Linked DNA regions of Mus musculus. The protein of the gene in region 1 binds, or shares a complex with, the protein of each later gene. Links are inferred from orthologs where the notes say so. Each region holds a gene or a part of one and is shown on either strand. Other genes may lie near its edges. The genes, in order: Ercc2 and Polr2g.

Region 1 (9,961 bases):
TGTTTCCTCTGTCCATGTGTTGTGTGCTGCCCCACCCCCCCACCCCCCCAGCTCCACACTGAGTTTTCAGGCTTATCCCTGGGGATTACTGCCGTAGCCAGGAAACCAGGTCAGCTGGCATCCTGCAGCTGGGCCAGCCTGGGCCTCGGAAGGAGGAGGCCCCCCCCATCAGCCCCACTGCAGGCTGTTGGCAGCTGCCTGCTTCCTTAAGCTTTCAGCACTCACCATGCCCCTTTCTTTGGCCTTTGTCTCTTCCTCCTCCCCCACCTACAACATCACAATCGGTAGAAGCCTCCTTGTCTACGCCTCCTATCACCTGCCTGAGTCCTTCAGCTTTCAGAAAGGCACCCAGCCCACCCTATGCGAGGCCTGCCCCTTCTCTATTCCAGCTGCGCCTGGGATCATTACTCTCTGGATAGCTGTCTCCCCTAGTACAAGGGAGCTCTTATGGGTGGGACTGAGGCTGTGTTGGTCACTGCTGTGTCCTTGGCAAGGGCTGGACACGTAAGACCCGATCATTTTTGCCAAGTGAAACAGAACCCATGAATGTATTCATTTGTTCAGTTAGCAAATGGGGCCAGGCCCAGCACTACTGAAACAGCCTCATCCTCCCCTTCCCGGAGTCACAGCCTGGGGGAGAATGAGGAGCAAAGATGGTTCCAGGTGACCCTGGGAAGTGGAGCGGTGCTGCAAGGAGCCATGGCACTGTCCTCTGGGGCAGGGATTCAGCCAAGTGGAAGCTGGCACAGCAGCTCAGGGCAAGGGGGCCCTCAGGTGTCTCACAGTGGGACTCTGGAATATGAACTATCCTTGTTTTTCTTGTCCTTGGTTGTGAAGTGTTATCCCAGTCATGGTACCCTGTGCTGGCAACAGAAAAAAACCAACAACAACAACAAAAAAAGCCAGTCAGGAAGGCACCCAAGGCCAGGTCCACCTGGTTACCAGCCTCTTACTGCCAAAGCCATTGCTGCTTCCCTCAGGAGCGGCCCTCTTCCCTGCCTCTACTTAGCCTGTGTTGGTGGCAGAGAGGCACGGTGAGGAATGGGAGGGAGGAAAGCAGGCAAATCTTGCTCTTCAGCCTGGGAGAGTGCATGACACCCTTCTGGGGTCATGGGAAGTGTGGAAACTGGCAAACTTGGGGTTCCATGACATGTCTCTGGTTGCTCTGCGGGGACAGGAGTGAGAGCCTGGAGGACAGAGGTGCCTGGGGAATGGCGGGCTTGGCTACCTGCGGGACCATGTATGAAGCCACAGCTCACTGCTTCTGCACCTGAGGGTTTGCAGAAGTGGGCAGGCTGGGGCAGTTCTGTCCCGGGGTGATGAGTGACTGAGACTCCCCGGCCTCTCCCTCCACCAGGCTTCACCATTATCATTGAGCCCTTTGACGACAGGACCCCCACCATCGCCAACCCCGTTCTGCACTTCAGGTGAGATGCAACCCTGTGTGGATGGGACAGGCCCCGCCCTCTGCCCCGTGTGACCCCCGTGTTGTCCCGCAGCTGTATGGACGCCTCCTTGGCCATCAAGCCTGTGTTTGAGCGCTTCCAGTCTGTCATCATCACTTCTGGGGTGAGGACTCTGCTGCTCCTTCATCGGGCTCCTGGTCTCCGGCCAGCCTGCTGAGGTCTCCCTTGCTGTCTCCGTTACAGACACTGTCCCCACTGGACATCTACCCCAAGATCCTGGACTTCCACCCTGTCACAATGGCAACCTTCACCATGACGCTGGCCCGAGTCTGCCTCTGCCCGATGGTGAGTGGGTGAGACCGGGGAGCCGCCTGCCTCCTGGCTTCGACCTAGGCAGCCGGTTACTCAGCTGAGGCTCAGGCCTGGTGGGTGCACCAAGTTACCAAGTGTACGCCGCCACTGGGCTATGGCACATAGACACATGCACACAGTGTACGCTGGTGCGACGCAGGCCTGGGCAGGTGGTGGCTGGCATCATCGTGCTGATGGCTTTGTCATTTGTCACCCAGCTGTGTCTTGAGTAATGAGCCTCCCTCTGAAACCTGGGGCAGAGCTGTCCTCTCAGCCTCATGGTCTCTGCTTTGCAGTTCAGAACCCTGCAGCTAGGCATGTTCAACCCATGGGCCATGGGCCACAAGCAGCCAAGGGTGGCTGGGATACTGCCCGGCACACAATCAGAAACCCTTTAACCTTACTGTCGGGGGAGGGGGCTGTAACCGGACAGCATGCTCACAGAGCATGGACTTTGAAGAGGGCAGTGGCTTTGCAGCAGGGGTTAGACAGATGGGTTCAGAGCTGTGGGGTTTTTGGATCAGTCTCTCTGACCACTCACTGGCATGGTGGACTGGGGAGGGTAGCTAATGGGATGTGTGCTGTGGGTGACCTATGTCTGGAACTGCCCAGGGCTGGTATAGTCCTGCCTAGAAGCACAGAGGGCCCTTCCCTGGGGCTTGTTACTCTGTGACTGTGGGCAGGTGGCTCATGGTTGAGCTCCAAGCACTTGCCCAAGCAGTGCCAGCCATAGGCTTGGGCCATCTAATCTGTTGTCTGCATAAGGCTTACCTGAACTCGGGCCTTGTTTGCTCCAGCACTTGCCTAGCATGCCGGGCACTTGGGCGCAGGCCTGTGATCTCAACTGCAGAGGTGGGCAGGAGAACCAGGGTCACCTTGGCTACACAGAATTTCAGGAGGCTGGAGAAGAGCCTTCTCATGGGTTTAGGGGGAAAGAGAGCCTTGGGAAGGCTCCTAGTCTGAAGGCCAGCCTGGGCTACATGAGACATCATCTCAAGGCCTTTAACCTGATTCTTCCAGATCATTGGCCGTGGTAATGACCAGGTAGCAATCAGCTCCAAATTTGAGACCAGAGAAGATATTGGTGAGTCACCTGTAGGCTTGGTTGGGGTGGGTCTCAGGTGGCCTAGGACCTGCTGCCATAGCATTATCCCAGCCTCTATGCTAGCACAGGGGGGGTTCCCATCCTCAGTGCCTTAGGTTTCTTCACTTGGAGGTCTGCACTAACAGGTGCACTATTGAGCCTAAGCACTGGCCCCTGGAACTTTGGGCACTGGCTCCTGAGTGTCACATGGAAGAAACAACCACTTCTACATGTCTCTTTTGCTGTCACAAGTTATATATCCTCAGGGAATGGGAGACAGCCCTCTACTGTGCTTGGGAGAATGCGTTTGGGATATGGTTAGGTGGTCTCAATGGGAGCCAGGAGAGGATCCACTCTTTAACCTACTCTTCTAGCTGTGATCCGAAACTATGGCAACCTCCTGCTGGAGATGTCCGCCGTGGTCCCAGATGGCATTGTGGCCTTCTTTACCAGCTACCAGTACATGGAAAGCACCGTGGCCTCCTGGTATGAGCAGGTACGCCTGGCACCACACCCTCAGCTCTGCTCTTCCTAGATATATATGACTTCACTCCCTCTTTCTACTGGTGACATGTGTCACAGGGCAGGGCAGTTAAGCACCCTTAACCCGTCCCCACCACAGGAGACTACCCTACTTTTGGGGTTTGTGTGCTGCGTTGCTCTTGGGGTTACTGCAGACTACATCCCCAGCAAGCAGGCTTGGTGATAGGCTGTACAAATTCTGGAGAGTTAGGCTGGACCAGAACTTCGGCTCCAGGAGCTCTCATACCTGTGTGGTTGGATGGAGCTTTGGGGCTTTGGTTCCGCATGGGGGTGCCATGTCTTATGACTGCTGAGCCCAGCTTTGAGGCCTATGTTTGAACAGGCATTGTAGACTGTGGGTGTGTCTCAGGCAGGGTGCCTAGTCTGAACTCACAGAGAGGGGCTGTAGGTTTAATTAAGTGGTAGAGCTAGCATATAACACATACAGGCCATTACCACAGTCGATCTCTAGTACTAAAAACAGACATCTGCCTGTCTGCCTGACTGTTGAGGCCAGAGTCTGTCTGCAGAGACACCAGAGACTCATTTGGACTAGGTGAGATAAGGCTAGAGTTCATTTTATCCAAGTAAAACTCCCAGACTTCCAAAAAAAAAAAGCCGGGCGTGGTGGCACACGCCTTTAATCCCAGCACTCGAGAGGCAGAGGCAGGCGGATTTCTGAGTTTAAGGCCAGCCTGGTCTACAGAGTGAGTTCCAGGACAGCCAGGGTTACACAGAGAAACCCTGTCTCGAAAAACCAAAAAAAAAACAAAAAACAAAAACCTCCCAGACTTAGCATCTTTGGTAGAGTTTGCTCACTGGGCTGCACAGGTAACGCTGCCTGGCGCCTCTGGTCCCCACGTCTGTCCTGGTGGGCTGCCCCTCCCTCACCACTGCAGTGACAGACCTATCTGATCTGAGGACAACCTGCTTGGTCCTGCCGTGGTTATGGTCAGACCCTCCACCAGTCACAAGCCACTCTGGGGCCCCGTGCCCACTGTGGGTGGTGGTTGGCTCCCCACTTTGGACTGCCAGTGAGGTTGGACAGCTAGGGGCCTAGAGGAGGGTTTTCATGGGAGGCCATGGCAGTGCTTGACTCTGTGTGGTCTGAACTCTGACCTCCCTGTCACCCCCAGGGCATCCTTGAGAACATCCAGAGGAACAAACTGCTCTTCATTGAGACCCAGGATGGGGCTGAGACCAGTGTGGCCCTGGAGAAGTACCAAGAGGTGGGTGCCTGGGACAGGCAGAGAAATGCCAGCAGCCAACGGGTGAGTGGGAGAGGGCTGACGAGTGACGACTTCCACCTCCCCACCCCAGGCATGCGAGAATGGCCGTGGGGCCATTCTGCTCTCAGTGGCTCGGGGCAAAGTATCAGAAGGGATTGACTTTGGTGAGTAGACCTGACTCTTAGCTCAGGTTCCTGCCCATCCTACCACACGGGATCTGTCCCCTTTCCAGGCCCTGGGGTGACCTTAGCCCCAGCATGCACTGTAATCCTGCTCTCCTGTCCCCAGTACACCACTACGGACGGGCTGTGATCATGTTTGGAGTTCCCTATGTCTATACCCAGAGCCGAATTCTCAAGGTGAGTGGGGAAACAGTGCTGTCAGGGGGTGTGGGGGAAGGGCAGGCCCTCCGCCTCAGCCTCCTCATCCCCCAGGCCCGGCTAGAGTATCTGCGGGACCAGTTCCAGATCCGAGAGAACGACTTCCTCACCTTTGATGCTATGCGCCATGCAGCCCAGTGTGTGGGTCGTGCCATCAGGGGCAAGACGGACTATGGACTCATGGTCTTTGCTGACAAGGTGGGGCTCAGGGCTCTTGGGCACCCCAGTCCAGGTAGCCCGACTTCCTCCCAGGGTACAGGGTAGTGGGCAGCCTGGGCTCCAACCTGGGCTCTAATGTCCTTCCCCTCCCTCCTCAGCGGTTTGCTCGGGCGGACAAGCGTGGTAAGCTGCCTCGCTGGATCCAGGAGCACCTGACCGACTCCAACCTCAACCTGACCGTGGATGAGGGTGTACAGGTCGCCAAGTACTTCCTGCGGCAGATGGCGCAGCCCTTCCACCGGGTAAGCCTGGGCCCCGCACGGCTTCTCTCTCCACCAGGTGTGCACATGCTTCCTAGTCGTCTCTGGCCCCGTATTCCGGCGAAAGGACAGGAGTGAACTCCAGCCACTGCACTCTCTCATCGCGTGCCCGTGTGAGCTGACTCCTGCCCTTTACCTCTGTTCCCTCCAGGAGGATCAGCTGGGCCTGTCGCTGCTCAGCCTGGAGCAGCTGCAGTCAGAGGAGACACTACAGCGAATTGAGCAGATCGCACAGCAGCTCTGAACAGCGGGGCTGTGGGGTGACCGCCTGTGGCTCCTGGGAGGTGCTGGAAGGTCCCAGGGCCCTCGGCAAACACCCAGTACCAGTGCACCGCCTTTAATTGCAGGGAGCGATCTACAAGAGCTGCCCAGGCAGGGTGCAGGGTGACCACCCACCCTTCCTGATCCTTGAGAAGCTGTGGCCTCTGCAGCCAGTCCACTTAGCGCGGGCTCAGATCTTGTGTGCTGATGCTCAGGGTCCGAGGGGCCTCACTCAGGTGCCGGGTTGAGAGCTGGGAGAGCTGAGAGCACAGGAATGGTTAGAGTTCTTTTCCAGTTGACATTGGAGCCACTTCATGCCCTGCCCACCAGCTCCTCCCTACCTTGAGTCCCCAGGAGGCGGCCCCACCTTTCCTGGCTTGCTGAGCCTGCCAGCAGCACCCCACTCCATCACTGACTCCTCACCTGCGTCCGGGCAGCCCTGGGACCATCCACGTTCAGCATATTGAGTGACATGGCTCTCTTCATCCTGAAGAGGAGCCCAAAAAGACAGGAGTGAGACAGGGAAGACTGCAGATCCCTGGCTCTGACTGATGTCACGGATGGTTCCTGACAGACTGCTGACCTCTCCCGGCACTCACCCGGCAGCCCCTGCCATGCCCTCTCCTCGGAGGCGGGAGACCAGCTTCTCGCTTCCTCGCCTGATGGATTCCCGGAGCTTAGAGAAGGAACTGCTCCTGCGCAGGACCTGGGGAGGGCACAGTGATGTGTGGGGACATGGTGGGGGCCCAACAAGGACCTGAGGTGGAGCCTGCTTACCTGCTGCTGTGTATCGCCTGCTGTGCCTCCCTGGGGGGCTCCTGTGGGACAGAAGGGACATGGAGGCAGGTGTGAGGAATGCCACCATGCAGGAGGGGGTGCAGGAAGGTGCAGGGGTGGGCTCACCAAGTGGGGCGGGCAGGGCCTCCTGGCTGAGGATCTCCTTGTATAGCTCCTCTGCCTGCTGATACTTGTTCTGTTTCAGGTAGGCTGAGGCCTGCGGGGAGGGAGGGCAGGGGTAGGGTGTGGACATCTTGTTTAGGCCTGGGAACGTCTCAGACCTGCCCGCCTTCCCCAGCATCCTGCCTCAGCTTACTGCAGTGCAGAGCCACCCGCGCAGGAGACCAGGCTACCTGCCACTGGGTCCTGCATCTCTGTGCCAGTCTCCTACCTCAGTGGGTGAAATGTTCGGGGTCACCCACCATGACACAATAAAATCTGATAGGACTTTGTGAACTGGGGTTTGCTTCTGATATTTTTGTACTGAAGGGGCTGTAAGATCCTTCAGTCTCTCTCCTCCCTACAGTGTCCCCAGGACAGGACAGACCTGGCATGCCTTACCAGGTTGTTCTTAGTCTTGGCCACATTTGGGTCCTGTGGCCCGCCCAGGGCCTCGTAGATGCTCAGGGCCCGCGCATAGTGCCGCTCCACGTCCTGAAACTTGCCCTGGTTCTGGCACAGTAGGGCCAGGTTGTTGAGCTGCTTGGCCACATCAGGGTGGTCTGCACCCAGGACCTAGGGTACACACAACCCATCTGTCACATAAGGTGGTCCATGAGATGCCACTGTCATTCTAGGGTCCCAGGCTGGGAAGACAGGAACAAAGTGGAAGTTAATGGGGTGTAGGAATTAGTGAGGTCAGAGGTCACGGGGTGCTGAGTCCAGCCAATCATAAGGGTTCAGGAGATCAAAGCAGGATTGGACTTGGACTGTAAGTTCATCAAGGCCACAAGGGTGCTGCAGGCTCAAATAAGGCAAACTCAAATAAGGTACACCAGATGGCTTGAGGTACCAGTGATGGGGAAAGGGGCCGGGTACAGCACCTTCTCACGGATCTCCAGAGCACGCTGGCAGAGGGGTTCTGCCTCCCGGTAACGTCCACGTTTTCCATAGAGGACAGCCAGGTTGTTGAGGGTGGCAGCCACCTGCAGGAAGACAGTTGGTGGTGGCGGAGGAGGAGGAGGAGGAGGAGGAGGCGGTTCCTGCAGCCCACCCTCCCCAGTCCATCTTCCCTCCCTCCCTCCCTCCCTCCCTGAACTGCTGCTCACTGCAGGGTGTTCAGGACCCAGCGTCTGTTCCCGGATCTGCAGGGCGTCGTGAAGAAGCTCCGTAGCTTCCTTGTATTTGTTCTGGTCCCTGCAGGGCAGGGATGGAAGGCTGAGCTTAGACTGAGTCAGGAATGGCCAGCATCCTAGGGGTCCCCACACTGCCAGCCCTGCCAAGCATCCTGTCTCATGTACCTTGCCTTCTCTGGTGCCCAAACTCTAGACTCGCTCTCACCGCCTCTCTAGGTCTCTGTTCCCCTCTCATTCTGTTCCCACCCCAGGCAATTTACCTTGTCAGGGGATCACAGTGCCACCCCCCCTCCCACTATCCCAGGCGGAACCCCAGCCCGATCAGCCTGGGCCCTCACCTGTACACGAGTGCCAGGATGTTGAGCATGGTGGCCACGTCAGGATGGCAGTGGCCCGAGCTCCGCTCCAGGTCCTCCAGAGCCTGGCGACATAGGGGAACTGCCACCTCATAGCGGCCCTGGCCAGCATACTGGATCACCAGGTTGTGCAGGGTCCGCAGACGAGCTGGGATCTCATAGCCACCCTGCTGCGCGGCTGCTGCTCCTGCTGCCTCAGGACCTAGGGGAGGTAGTGTGGAGTCACCCACAGTGGGCCTCAGCCTGGTCCCAACAGCCACCTCTTAGAGTACGGTCATGTGGTGACAGGACACAGGGATTTCAGAAATCTAACCAGCCGGTGGCATGTTAGGTGCCAGAACCTAACGTGACTGTCTTCCAGCTTCCAATGTCCCTACTAGCCAGGGCCACCTGCTTCTTCCCCTCCTCAGAGGCCTCGGTGTCCCTCAGGGCAAGGTTCCTGTCCCAGGCTTAACCTGTAGTCCTGGGTGGTTACCCTCTGATATCGTGCCCAGGGCTCCCACACACCCACCTTTCTTTTCCTCCTCTTCACTGGGGAACAGAGATGCCAAGCTGTCTCGGCGAGGGGGGGACTCGGGCCTCTGTGGAAAACAGGAAAGAGTTCTGAGAAAGTCAAGTGTCAGGCCGAGGCCCTGGAGCTACATCGGGCCTGCCTGTGTAGCTCTCTGTTGTTCAGGGCAGGGGCTGGCTCACCATGTAGACTAGGCTAGCATGCCTCTGCCTTCACGGTGCTGGGCTTAAAGGCACGCCACCATGCCTGGCTTCAGGGACTGGTATATTTCTGAGGTAAGAGTCTCACTACGTGGCCCAGGCTGGCCTAGAACTCACAGCATCCTTCATCCTCAGCCACAGTAGCTCTGAGTTTGACAGAGGTGTGGGGTGAGAGCCTTAGAGGTTTCAGTGGGCTGGGGGAAGAATGCTCTAAGGAGCATTCAAGGTACTTTGGGGGCTCAATTAGGTGTGGGGATTGAGGGACTCCATTTGTACTTGAAGGGCTGTACTAAGAGCTCCTGCAGGCACCCAGGAGCTCTGTAGAGGACTGTGCATTCCCTTCTAACCCTGCCCCTGCTACCTGGCTCTCCTCGGGCGGGTCATACTGCCTCAGCTGCCCCAGGAACTGGAGGTGGCTCTTCTCCTCTTCCAGCTGGGCCACAGCCTCCTCGCTGGCCCGCAGTCGCCTCTGTGTCTCCTCCAGCTCCTCTCGAAGCCATGTGTTCTCTTGGGCTAGCCTCCGTGCCTGTGCCCGTAGCCTCTGCTTCTCAGCCTCCAACACACTCACGTGTGCGGACAGGGCCAGCAGCACCTGCGAAGCATTGGGACCCTGAGTAGGAGTGGATTCATCCCAGTCCCAGTCCAGGTTTTACATCAAGCCACATTCTACACAGGTTCCCCCAAATCCTCAACACACCCTACTATGTGGCTCTGATAATTAAGAGTTTCCCAGAAATCCCTAACTTCACCTAAATTATGCATAGGGTTAATTCCTATCCCAACTATGTAGGTCAGCAGCTGCCTAAAATCCATCTGTGAAGAACAGGGGCGTGGCTCAGTGGGAGAGCCCCTGCCTAGAATCCCCCAGTGAGGGGCTGGGGTGTGGCTCAGTGGTAGAGCCCCTGCCTAGAATCCCCCAGTGAGGGGCTGGGGGCGTGGCTCAGTGTTGAGCCCCTGCCTAGAATCCCCCAGTGAGGGGCTGGGGGCGTGGCTCAGTGGTAGAGCCACTGCCTAGAATCCCCCAGTGAGGGGCTGGGGGCGTGGCTCAGGGGTAGAGCCCCTGCCTAGAATCCCCCAGTGAGGGGCTGGGGGTGAGGCTCAGTGGTAGAG
Region 2 (9,881 bases), on another chromosome or scaffold:
TTCCCTCCTCAGGAAAAAAGAGCCCAGAACCCTCAACAACTGTGGGTGGCAAAAGGTTAGCAGATCTTCGGTCAGTAACACAGTGCAGGTGGTGAAAGAGCTTGCTACACAACCCCGATGACCTGACTTCTACTTCCAAATCCATAGCAGCACAAAGAACTTGAAAGCTGTCTAAATATCACACTGTGGCCAGTGGGTATGCGCAGCACACATCCACATAAATAATACAATTTTATAAAATACGAAAATAGTGATGTTCTAAAAAAGAAAAGAGAACGCCATAGCTCTCAGCTGCAAATGGTGATCCTGGCCTACTTATAATCCTACTATTTAGGAGGCAGAGGCAGGAGGTTCATGAGTTGCAGGCCAGCCTGGGCTACAGGCAAGAAAAGAAGTCAAGCAAGAGACTCACAATGTCATTCTTGTCTACACGCGTGCCTACAATCTTCAAGCGTATCTCATCGTCCTGCTGAATCACAATGTCCTATGGAAAGGAGAGAACAGTGGTCAAGCAGACTCAGGCCCAGTCTCAGTGTTGCTTTCCTCATCCCTCTCACCACTCCTCCACACTCGCTCACCTCGTCCATGGTCTTATAGCAAGGGGGGTTTGAATTTGGATCAAACTCCATCTCTGAAGGGATGGACTAGAAGGAAATTGACACAAAGGTTAGCACTTCAAACAGCTGCATCAATAGATGATAGCTATGGACCGACTGGTTTCTTTTCCTTGGCTCCACCCAGGATGCCCAGACTTACATGTCGAGAGATGAAGCAAGACATAGGCCCAATTTCTGTGAAAAGTCCAACCTAAAAGGAAAATGGATGATCTTGCTTCAAAGGCTTTGGAGCATTTTTATCTGATTCCTAATCATATTATTCGTGTTTTGTAACAGTCTAAATTGTAGCATTTGTTTTCATTTCTCTCTCTGTAGTCTTTCATTTCTTTACATTTTTGTTCTTCATTATTTTTACATGTGAGAGTATTCTGTCCTCACATGTACCTGTGTGCCATGTACATGCAGTGCCCATGGAAGCCAGAAGAGGGTGTTGGGATCCTGCAGAACTAGGAGATACAGAGATTGTGAGCCCCTGTGTAGGTGCTGGGATTGTGAGCCGCTATGTGGGTGCTGGGAGTCAAACCCAGGTCCTACAGTACCAACAGGTGTTCTAAACCACTGAGCTATAACCCGTAGCTTTTAAATTCACTAAATTACACCACCTAACCTTGCAGGCCTTGAACTTGGGATCCGACTCATCCTTCTAAGTAGAAAGGATTACAGGTTCATACTACTAAGCCTGGATTTTACAAAGGTGTTGGGGAACAGAACTCAGGTTTTGATGCTTGCACAGGAAACATTTTACCCACCAAATAAGAGCCCAGATCCTTATTTTTTTGTTTGAGGCAGAATTTCACTCTATAGCCCATGACAGCTTAAAACTTACATCAGTCCTACTTCAGCTTCCCAAGTGCAAGAATCACAGGCCTGACACACTATACCAGGCGTTCTCACTTCAGAGATTGTGGTGATTTTTATTTTTAAAAGATTTTTATTTTAAAAAGAGCTGGGGGGAGAGCAAGAACATGCCATTCTAGTTGAGAAAACTAGTTGCTCTTCCAAAGGAATCAGGTTTGGTTCCCAGAACCTGCAAGGCAGTTTACAACCTTCTGTTAATTCCTGTTCTAGGAGATCCAACACCCGTCTTCTGGGCACCAAGCACACATGTGGTACACAAACATGCATGCAGGGGTTCAAGGCCAGCCTGGTCTACAGAGTGAGTTCCAGGACAGCCAGGGCTACACAGAGAAACCCTGTCTCAAAAAAACAAAACAAAACAAAAGAAACATGCATGCAGACAAGACAAAACATCCATACAGCCAGTCAAGGTGGCAAAGCGTTTAATCCTATCACTTAGGAGGCAGAGGCAGGCAAATCTGTGTGTTTAAAGTTAGCCAGAGGGCTGGTGAGATGGCTCAGTGGGTAAGAGCACCCGACTGCTCTTCCGAAGGTCAGGAGTTCAAATCCCAGCAACCACATGGTGGCTCACAACCATCCATAATGAGATCTGACTCCCTCTTCTGGAATGTCTGAAGACAGCTACAGTGTACTTACATATAATAAAAAAAAAAAAAAAAAAAAAAAAAAAAAAAAAAGTTAGCCAGAGCTACAAAGTGAGTTCAAGGCCAGCCTTGGCTACATAGTGAGACCCTGTTTCAAAAAAACAAAAGCAAACAAATAAACGAAGAAAGGCCTGGGCTTGGAAATTTAGCTGAATTGTACGACCCTGGGTTTGATCTTCAGGTCTGGAGAGGAGAGTGGAGAAAGAAAGAGTCAGGGGGCAGCTGGTGAGATGGCTCAGTGGGTAAGAGCACCCGACTGCTCTTCTAAAAGTCCTGAGTTCAAATCCCAGCAACCATGTGGTGGCTCACAACCATCCATAACGAGATCTGACTCACTCTTCTGGAGTGTCTGAAGACAGCTACAGTGTACTTACATATAGTAAATAAATAAATCTTTTAAAAAAAAAAAAACCCTTAAAAAAAAAAGAGTCAGGGGGTAGTTTGCATACTATCAGTCAACAGTAACGACTCAGTCAATGCAGATTTCTATTGTAGCACGACTACTTCTGTAATTCAGAAGACACCCCCAGCTAAGTTAGATGGAAAGACAGTTAAGGAAAGTGAAGAACCAAAAAGTGACCTAAGGGACTGAAGAGATGGCTAAATAATTAAGAGTGCATAACCGTGCTTGCAGAGGACCTGAGTTCAATTCCTAGCATCCATATCCAGGGTCTCACAACTCCAGGTAGGAGGGGACCTGAAACCCTCTTGAAGCTTCAGAAGGTACCAGCACTCATGGGCTTGCACTCACCCCAGATAACATACAAGTACACATAGTTAAAATTAAAATAAATTGCTGGGTGGTGGTGGCTCGTGTCTTTAATCCCAGCACTCAGGAGGCAGAGGTAAGTGGATGTCTGAGTTTAAGGCTAGTTTGGTCTATGGGGTAAGTTCCAGGACAGCCAGGGCTACACAGTGAATCCCTGCCTCAAAAACAAAAGTACAAAACTGACAGCCAGGACTACACAGAGAAACCCTGTCTCTAAAAACAAAAACAAACAAACAAACAAAAAATCAAACCAACCAACCAACCAACCAAACAAACAAACAAAAAACCTGCTGGGTAGTGGTGGCACATGCCTTTAACTTGAGAGGCAGAGGCAGGTGGATTTCTGAGTTCGAGGCCAGCCTGGTCTACAGAGTGAGTTCCAGGAGAGCCAGGGCTACACAGAGAAACCCTGTCTCAAAAAAAAAAAAAAAAAAAAAAAAAAAAGAAAAGAAAAGAAAAGAAAAGAAAAAAGAAAACCCTAAAACCAGAAAAGAAAAACCAAAAAACTAAGATAAAATGAATCTTAACAACAACAAAAGACTTAAGGCAACTAGTAAGTGGACTAGGGACTGAACCCTCACCTTAGGAAATACCCCATAACCTTTCTATGAATAATACTCTTACCTTGTTGACCTGAGTGACCACAGCATCCACCACTTCACCTTTAAAGGGCCGGAAAACAATAGCTTTGTATTTCACTGGATAAAGAACAAAACCTCGGCCTGGCTGGATCACACCAGCACCAATATTGTCGATGGTGGTGACAGCAATTACAAAGCCATATCTGCATGAAAAATGAAAGAAGACAGCTATGTGAAGAGCCTCTGAAAAGCCACCAGCAATAAGAGTCTCTGTGTGAAAGAACCTCTGTTCAGATGGTTCATTGATCAAGAAGAGACAGGACACAGATTAGCACCTAAATATATATATATATATATACACACACACACACACACACACACACATATATATGTTTTTTCGAGACAGAGTTTCTCTGTGTAGCGCTGGCTGTCCTGGAACTCACTCTTTAGACCAGGCTGGCCTTGAACTCAGAAATCCACCTGCCTCTGCCTCCCAAGTGCTGGAATTAAAGGCATGCGCCACCCCCGACCAGCTTAGCACATGAAATATTAAATGATGCTCTCATGATGGTACAGTAAATGCCCAAGAAGGCCTAGATATGCTGACATACACCTATTCTCTCAGTACCATGTAGGCTAAGGCAGGAGGACTTGCCAGGGTCAAAGCTGAGACAGGTCTTTCAAAAACCACAAACGAGTCAGAGAATTGTGATGAAAGCCTTTAATGTCAGCACTCAGTGGCAGGCAGATCTCTGAATTAGAGCCCAGCTTGGTCCACATAGTGAGGCCATCTCAAAACTCAAAAACATTTGCATAATAACGGTCTTATCTCACATAAGGGAAGAAAATTTTCTTTAGTAGCTTTTCAGAGTGTCTAAAACAGGCAAAAACTGGCTGCTTCAGGTGCCTGGAGGGGTGAAAGGGTTCCTCAGAGTAAGCGACAAGCCCTGACAGAAGGAGTTAAGAAGAGGTTAGAGACTAGCGCCATTGTGCGTGCATTCAGCAGACCTCTCTGTGAAGCAGAAACTCACTTCCCAGTGCAGGTCCCCTCCACCTCGGTAAACAGCTTCTGCTTCACCGTGTTGAGCAAGTTTGGACCGAAGTATCGTGGGTGCAGGAGGATCTCGTGCTCCAGGGAAATCTGCAGAGAAAGGAAGATGGAGACTCAGCCAGCCACATTGAGGACAGGAGGCGACCTGTCGGCCCTTCCGGGCCTCCAGGATCCTCCTGTGACTGCCCCTCACAGTTACCCCGCATCCAGCTCACGTGATAAAACATCTTCTGCAGAAGCTTGGCCCGCAGCGCCCAGAACTTCCCACGCAGAGACCTCTCCGGAAGCACTTGCAGAAGTCCCACCACTTCTCTGCGGTCGCTTCCGCAGCGCTGATTGAGTCTTAACGTCATGGGCGGGGATACATGAAGCCCCGCCCCTCAGGCCTGCCCACCACCGTTCATACTCCCCTCCTACTTAAAGCAAATTCTAGGACAGCCGGGATTACAGAGAAAAACCCGGCCTCGAAGAACCAAAGCCAAAACTAAAACCAAAACCAAAACCAAAACCAAAACCAAAACCAAAACCAACCAAAAAATGTGAGTTATTTTAGGTCTGACTTTTACCACATGCCCTTAAACCCAGCCGTGGCAAACAGATCTCTAAACTTAAGGCTAAGCCACAGCTACAAAGTGAGTTCCAGGGTAACCTGGGCTGTGTATACAACCCTGTAAAACATTTACACATATTTAAAAAAAACCAAAAAATTATTATTATTTAATTTGGGGGCTGAAGAAATAGCTCAGTCCTTAAGAGCACTTGCTCCTCTTGCAGAGGTCCAGGATTTAATTCCCAGCACCCACAGGGTAGCTCACACTCTTCTTTGTAACTCCAGCTCAGGGAGAGCTGACATCCTCTTCTGGCTTCCTTCAGCACTGCATGTGAGTGGTACCCAAACACACATACAGGCAGAACACCCATGCTTGTAAAATAAAAAGAAAGGCTAGGCAGCTGGGGATATGATTGTTCTTCCAAAGGATCCAGGTTTGATTCCCAGCACAAGCATGCTGACTCAACTCTCTATCTATACTTCAATCCCAGGGGATCCAGTGCCCTCTGGCCTCCATGAACACAGCACCCTTGTGGTGAACAGACATAGCTGTAGCCAGAACACTCACACATATAAAATAAGAATAACGGTTTTTTTTTTTTTTACATGTAAATAAAAATAAAGCTCTCAAAGAGGACCTGAGTTCAGTTACTAACACTAGCATTTCACAACTCCAGCTCTAAGGGGACCTGAAATCTTCTCGTAGCCTCAGAAGGTACCAGTACTCATAGGCTCATACTCACACATAGGTAGCATACATTATTAAGTACACATAATTAAAAAGAAATCACTTAGCTGGGCATGATGGCGCACGCCTTTAATCCCAGCACTTGGAAGGCAGAGACAAGTGAATTTCTGAGTTTGAGGCCAGCCTGGTCTACAGAGTGAGTTCCAGGACAGCCAGGGGCACATAAACAAGGCTGTCTTAAAAAACAAAACAAAACAAAAAAACCCCAAAAAGACAGCAAACAAACAAAAAGATTATGTCTGCAGGCATGCACTAGGCTTACTTTCTTTTCTATTTGAGGGACAGGGTTTTATTATGTAGCCATGGACGGCCTGGAATTTGTTTTGTAGAGGAAGCTTGCCTTGAACTTTTAACAATTCTCTTGCCTTTTCTTTTGAAGTCCTGGGTAAAGTGGAAGCTTAAGGTTTGTCAGTTGTGTTGGAAGGTATTTTGCTGGAGCTAACACGTGAAGGAGTGTTTTCCTGAAGTGGACACAGGTGAAAGAGTAAGGCAGACTCATGAAGGAACATTTAGTTGAAGCAGACACAGGAGAGAGATGTACTGCTAAAGCAAGCACATGAAAGGACACGTGATAAAGGATTCTTTGCTAAAAACTGGCATGTATTGGCCTGCCTTCCATTGCACAGTTGAGTTGAATTTGTCAGGACTCCATAGGGAGAAATGCACCAAAAAACTTTTGGTGGTGTGCTGCAGTTTCTTGCTGCTTCTTCGGACTTGGGCTGATTGGCAGAGTGATGTCAGGTAAGACAGACGCATGTGCTGCGTCAAGACTCATGGAGAACATGTGATGTTTGGAGAGAGTATAAGTAGGACTCAGTGGATGGTGATAGAGGCTGAGCTAGGCTTGCTTCTAGAGCTAGCTATGCAATGCTTGTAGGTCTCAAGTCTGCTTATCTCATCCCTGAGAGAGGCACAGCCTAGAACTTTTCGTAGTGTTCCTCCTGGTCCCACCTGCTGACTTGTGCCAAGGCTGAGGCCTGGCTGTCTCTGCTAGGTCGTTCCACTGCTACTGATTCATGTTTGCTATCCTGACTCTCCCAAACTGGACTGCTGGTGTATCCATGAAGTGTTTGCGAGTGGATCCAGCTGCTGCTGCTAACCAATAAACTGAACTGCTGATTTCTGGACAATATAGACAAGATACTAAGATACTAAGATATTATCAGGACTCAGATAATAGAGAGAAGCTCAGGAGTGTTAGGTCATCCTTGGATACAAGAGCAAATATGAGGACAGCCTGTGTTAAGTGAGGGCTTGTCATTTTAAAGGAAAAAAAAAAAGGAGAAGGTACAGGGTGGGGGAAATGTTTCTTCAATACTGGTCACCATTGACCTGCCTATAGCTCCTGCTGGTGAGACATTGGCAGGAGCACTCTAAGTTCCAAGACAACCTGTGCTACATGTGGAAATCCTCTCAAGCAAACAAGAAGTAGCTCAATTGAAAAAATAAACAAAACTCCATTCGTGGAACTATTTCCAGGGACTCATGGTGCAGCTCTGGTGGCCTAGAACTCACTATATTGACCAGGTTGACTTTAAACTCTCAGAGATCTGCCTGCCTCTATTTCCCAAGTGTTGGGATTAAAAGAGCACATCACCTACACTTGGGTTTTATGCTGTCCAGGCTGTGCTGAAAGTTTGTTGTTCCGGCTGGCCTTGAAGTTCCGATGCTCTGTCTTCTACCTCCTGAACATATTGTGGACATGCACAACCACATGTGTATTATGGGACCAAACAGGACTATCTTTGGAGGCAAACTACCATCCTCCTCAGAACTTTAGCTGGGTCTGCAGGCAGAAGACCACCTCAGCTGTGCTTGCTGACTGTTGACTTTCCCTTATAGGATGAGGGGCTGTGGAGGGTCATGAGACCCTCACTTGAGTATCCAGTCACTTCCCTCAACCAGTTCCCTAATTGCACATGACCCCAGGATCTCCAGGGCTGGGTGTGTGTGTAATATATATATTACATATATTACCTGATTGATATACATATATATATATATATATATATATATATATATATATATATATATATATATATATATATATATATATATATATACCCAGAATTCTATAGGTGGAGAATGACTTAGGGAGGGAGCTCCATCTATATGGCTACAGGAACATTATGCTGGGTAAACCCTTTAGCCAGGGACTTCTGAAGTGGCTCACCCACACTCCTGTAAGTAACCCCTCACCTAGGCTCTGTAAGAAAGGCCAATAAGTTCTCAGGGGCCCAAGGTACTAGTGGCATAGTACCTTGGTTTATCATTGGGACCTTACAGAAGAGTTTTTTGTTTTGTTTTGTTTTCTCTACTTATTGACTTTACATTCCGATCGCAGCCCCCCTCAGGGAAAAGATTTTAACAACACAGATATCCTTAGACTCTGTCCCATTTCTGTCCTTACTAGGGCTTGCCTAGAGAACAGTCCATCATCTTCATAGAGTTAGAGGTAGTTACTAACACCACTACTGAGCCTGAACTAGTGGCGCATCCTGTAATTTTCGAGGACCAGATCTGCAAGAGTGAACTGCACTTTTGGGAGGTGTGGCTTACTGCCCACTGTTTCGGCAGAGCTTGGTCTAGACGTGGGCCTACAGGTTATCACACCATTTTGTTATAGTTCTCCTTCTAGGTAGTCCGCAGCAGAAACAGGCTGTATACTCCCGAATACACTGCGTTACTGCCAACCTCGCCCCACCCAGGCGGGTAATTTCCCTATGGGAAACAGATGAATAAGTTCAGCCAATCCTGAGGTCTCTGAGGGAAGGCGGGATGAGGAAGAAAAGTTTAGGACAGGAGCAACAACCAATTGTGAGCCTCGACGCCTGAGCAATGGCAGGGATTGCCCATTTGGAGAAGCCGGTTATCGAGGGGCGGGGTAGCTCACAGTGAGCCAATCCACAACAAGAGAGGGCAAGCTTGAGCCAATTAAGATAGCGGAGGTGGGAAGAGGCGGAGCTCTCCTAGTAGCTGCTAGGTCGTGGGTGAGGGCTCAGCTTTCTCTGCTAGTTCCTACGTTGGGAGTCCTTAGCCTTGGAGTTCGAGAGGGAAAAGCGCAGGAAGTTCCGGGTCTGGGGCGTGAAGGCATCACCCGGGAAAGCTTGGGCGCAAAAGACAGTCCTAGTTGGAGGACTCATTGTAAGGCACCGGCTGAGAATCGAGGAAGCACAGGCTGCTTAGGGGGCGGGACTTCCGGGGGCAGGGCTTTTTTTCGAATAGGGGCGGGGACGATTCCTAAGGTTAGGCTCAGGGGGCGGAGCCAACAGGTCTTTGGGTGGGATAGTGGAAAAAGAAGGGCAGTTAACTGAAACATGGTTGGGGGTGGGGGACAGCATGTTGCCAGAGGCCTTGGGTGGTCAGCTCTATTTAAGGGCTGATGTGGAGGTTGCTATGGAAGTTACCTAATTTACTGTCCTTTCTTCCCAGGGAGTCAGTGGTAGGGAACTCTCTTGGGCACCCTTCCCTCCTTGGGGTGCTATGGAGTTCCCAGAACACAGTCAGCAGCTGCTTCAGAGCCTGCGGGAGCAACGGTCCCAGGGTTTCCTTTGTGACTGCACTGTGATGGTTGGTAGTACCCAGTTCTTGGCCCATCGGGCTGTGCTGGCCTCCTGCAGCCCATTCTTTCAGCTTTTCTACAAGGAGCGGGAATTGGACAAGAGGGACCTGGTGTGTATTCACAATGAGATTGTCACGGCCCCAGCCTTTGGGTTGCTTTTGGACTTTATGTATGCTGGCCAGCTGGCCCTTAGGGGAGATACTCCTCTAGAAGATGTGCTGGCAGCTGCCAGCTACTTGCACATGAATGACATTGTTAAGGTTTGTAAGCAACGATTGCAGGCCCGAGCTCTGGCAGAGGCAGACAGTACCAAGAAGGAAGAGGAAACCAATCCTGCTAGTCTGGAGTTTTTGTCAGGCAGTTCTCGAGGCCCACAGCCTTTACTGGCATCTGTTGAACCGTCAGCCCGCTGGAACAAAGAGGAATGGAAGGGTCCAGCCACTCCCTTACCCATTGCTCATCCTGCAGATGAGCCACCAGTATCTGGGGGGGCAGACACTA

The links.
Region 2: Ercc2 (region 1) and Polr2g share a complex: the UniProt entries of both Homo sapiens proteins name them as parts of the TBP-based Pol II pre-initiation complex. The link is inferred for Mus musculus from reciprocal best matches to the Homo sapiens genes ERCC2 and POLR2G.

The regions. Positions count from the first base shown.
Region 1 is NC_000073.6:19,388,750-19,398,710, forward strand, and holds the end of Ercc2 (general transcription and DNA repair factor IIH helicase subunit XPD), read left to right. Parts: intron 1-1,357; coding exon 1,358-1,427; intron 1,428-1,499; coding exon 1,500-1,569; intron 1,570-1,649; coding exon 1,650-1,751; intron 1,752-2,777; coding exon 2,778-2,841; intron 2,842-3,215; coding exon 3,216-3,337; intron 3,338-4,499; coding exon 4,500-4,592; intron 4,593-4,683; coding exon 4,684-4,756; intron 4,757-4,880; coding exon 4,881-4,951; intron 4,952-5,026; coding exon 5,027-5,170; intron 5,171-5,289; coding exon 5,290-5,433; intron 5,434-5,602; coding exon 5,603-5,695; 3' UTR 5,696-5,891; coding exon of another isoform or gene 5,892-5,972; 3' UTR 5,973-6,135; coding exon of another isoform or gene 6,136-6,706; 3' UTR 6,707-6,945; downstream 6,946-9,961. Other genes in the region: Klc3 (kinesin light chain 3), read right to left, coding at 5,892-5,972, 6,136-6,530, 6,616-6,706, 7,051-7,224, 7,533-7,634, 7,758-7,845, 8,123-8,342, 8,652-8,721 and 1 more. UniProt on the Homo sapiens protein: ATP-dependent 5'-3' DNA helicase. Component of the general transcription and DNA repair factor IIH (TFIIH) core complex, not absolutely essential for minimal transcription in vitro.
Region 2 is NC_000085.6:8,793,724-8,803,604, forward strand, and holds the start of Polr2g (DNA-directed RNA polymerase II subunit RPB7), read right to left. Parts: upstream 4,835-9,881; 5' UTR 4,748-4,834; coding exon 4,736-4,747; intron 4,611-4,735; coding exon 4,501-4,610; intron 3,673-4,500; coding exon 3,513-3,672; intron 808-3,512; coding exon 757-807; intron 645-756; coding exon 579-644; intron 485-578; coding exon 413-484; intron 1-412. Other genes in the region: Zbtb3 (zinc finger and BTB domain-containing protein 3), read left to right, coding at 9,302-9,881. UniProt on the Homo sapiens protein: Core component of RNA polymerase II (Pol II), a DNA-dependent RNA polymerase which synthesizes mRNA precursors and many functional non-coding RNAs using the four ribonucleoside triphosphates as substrates.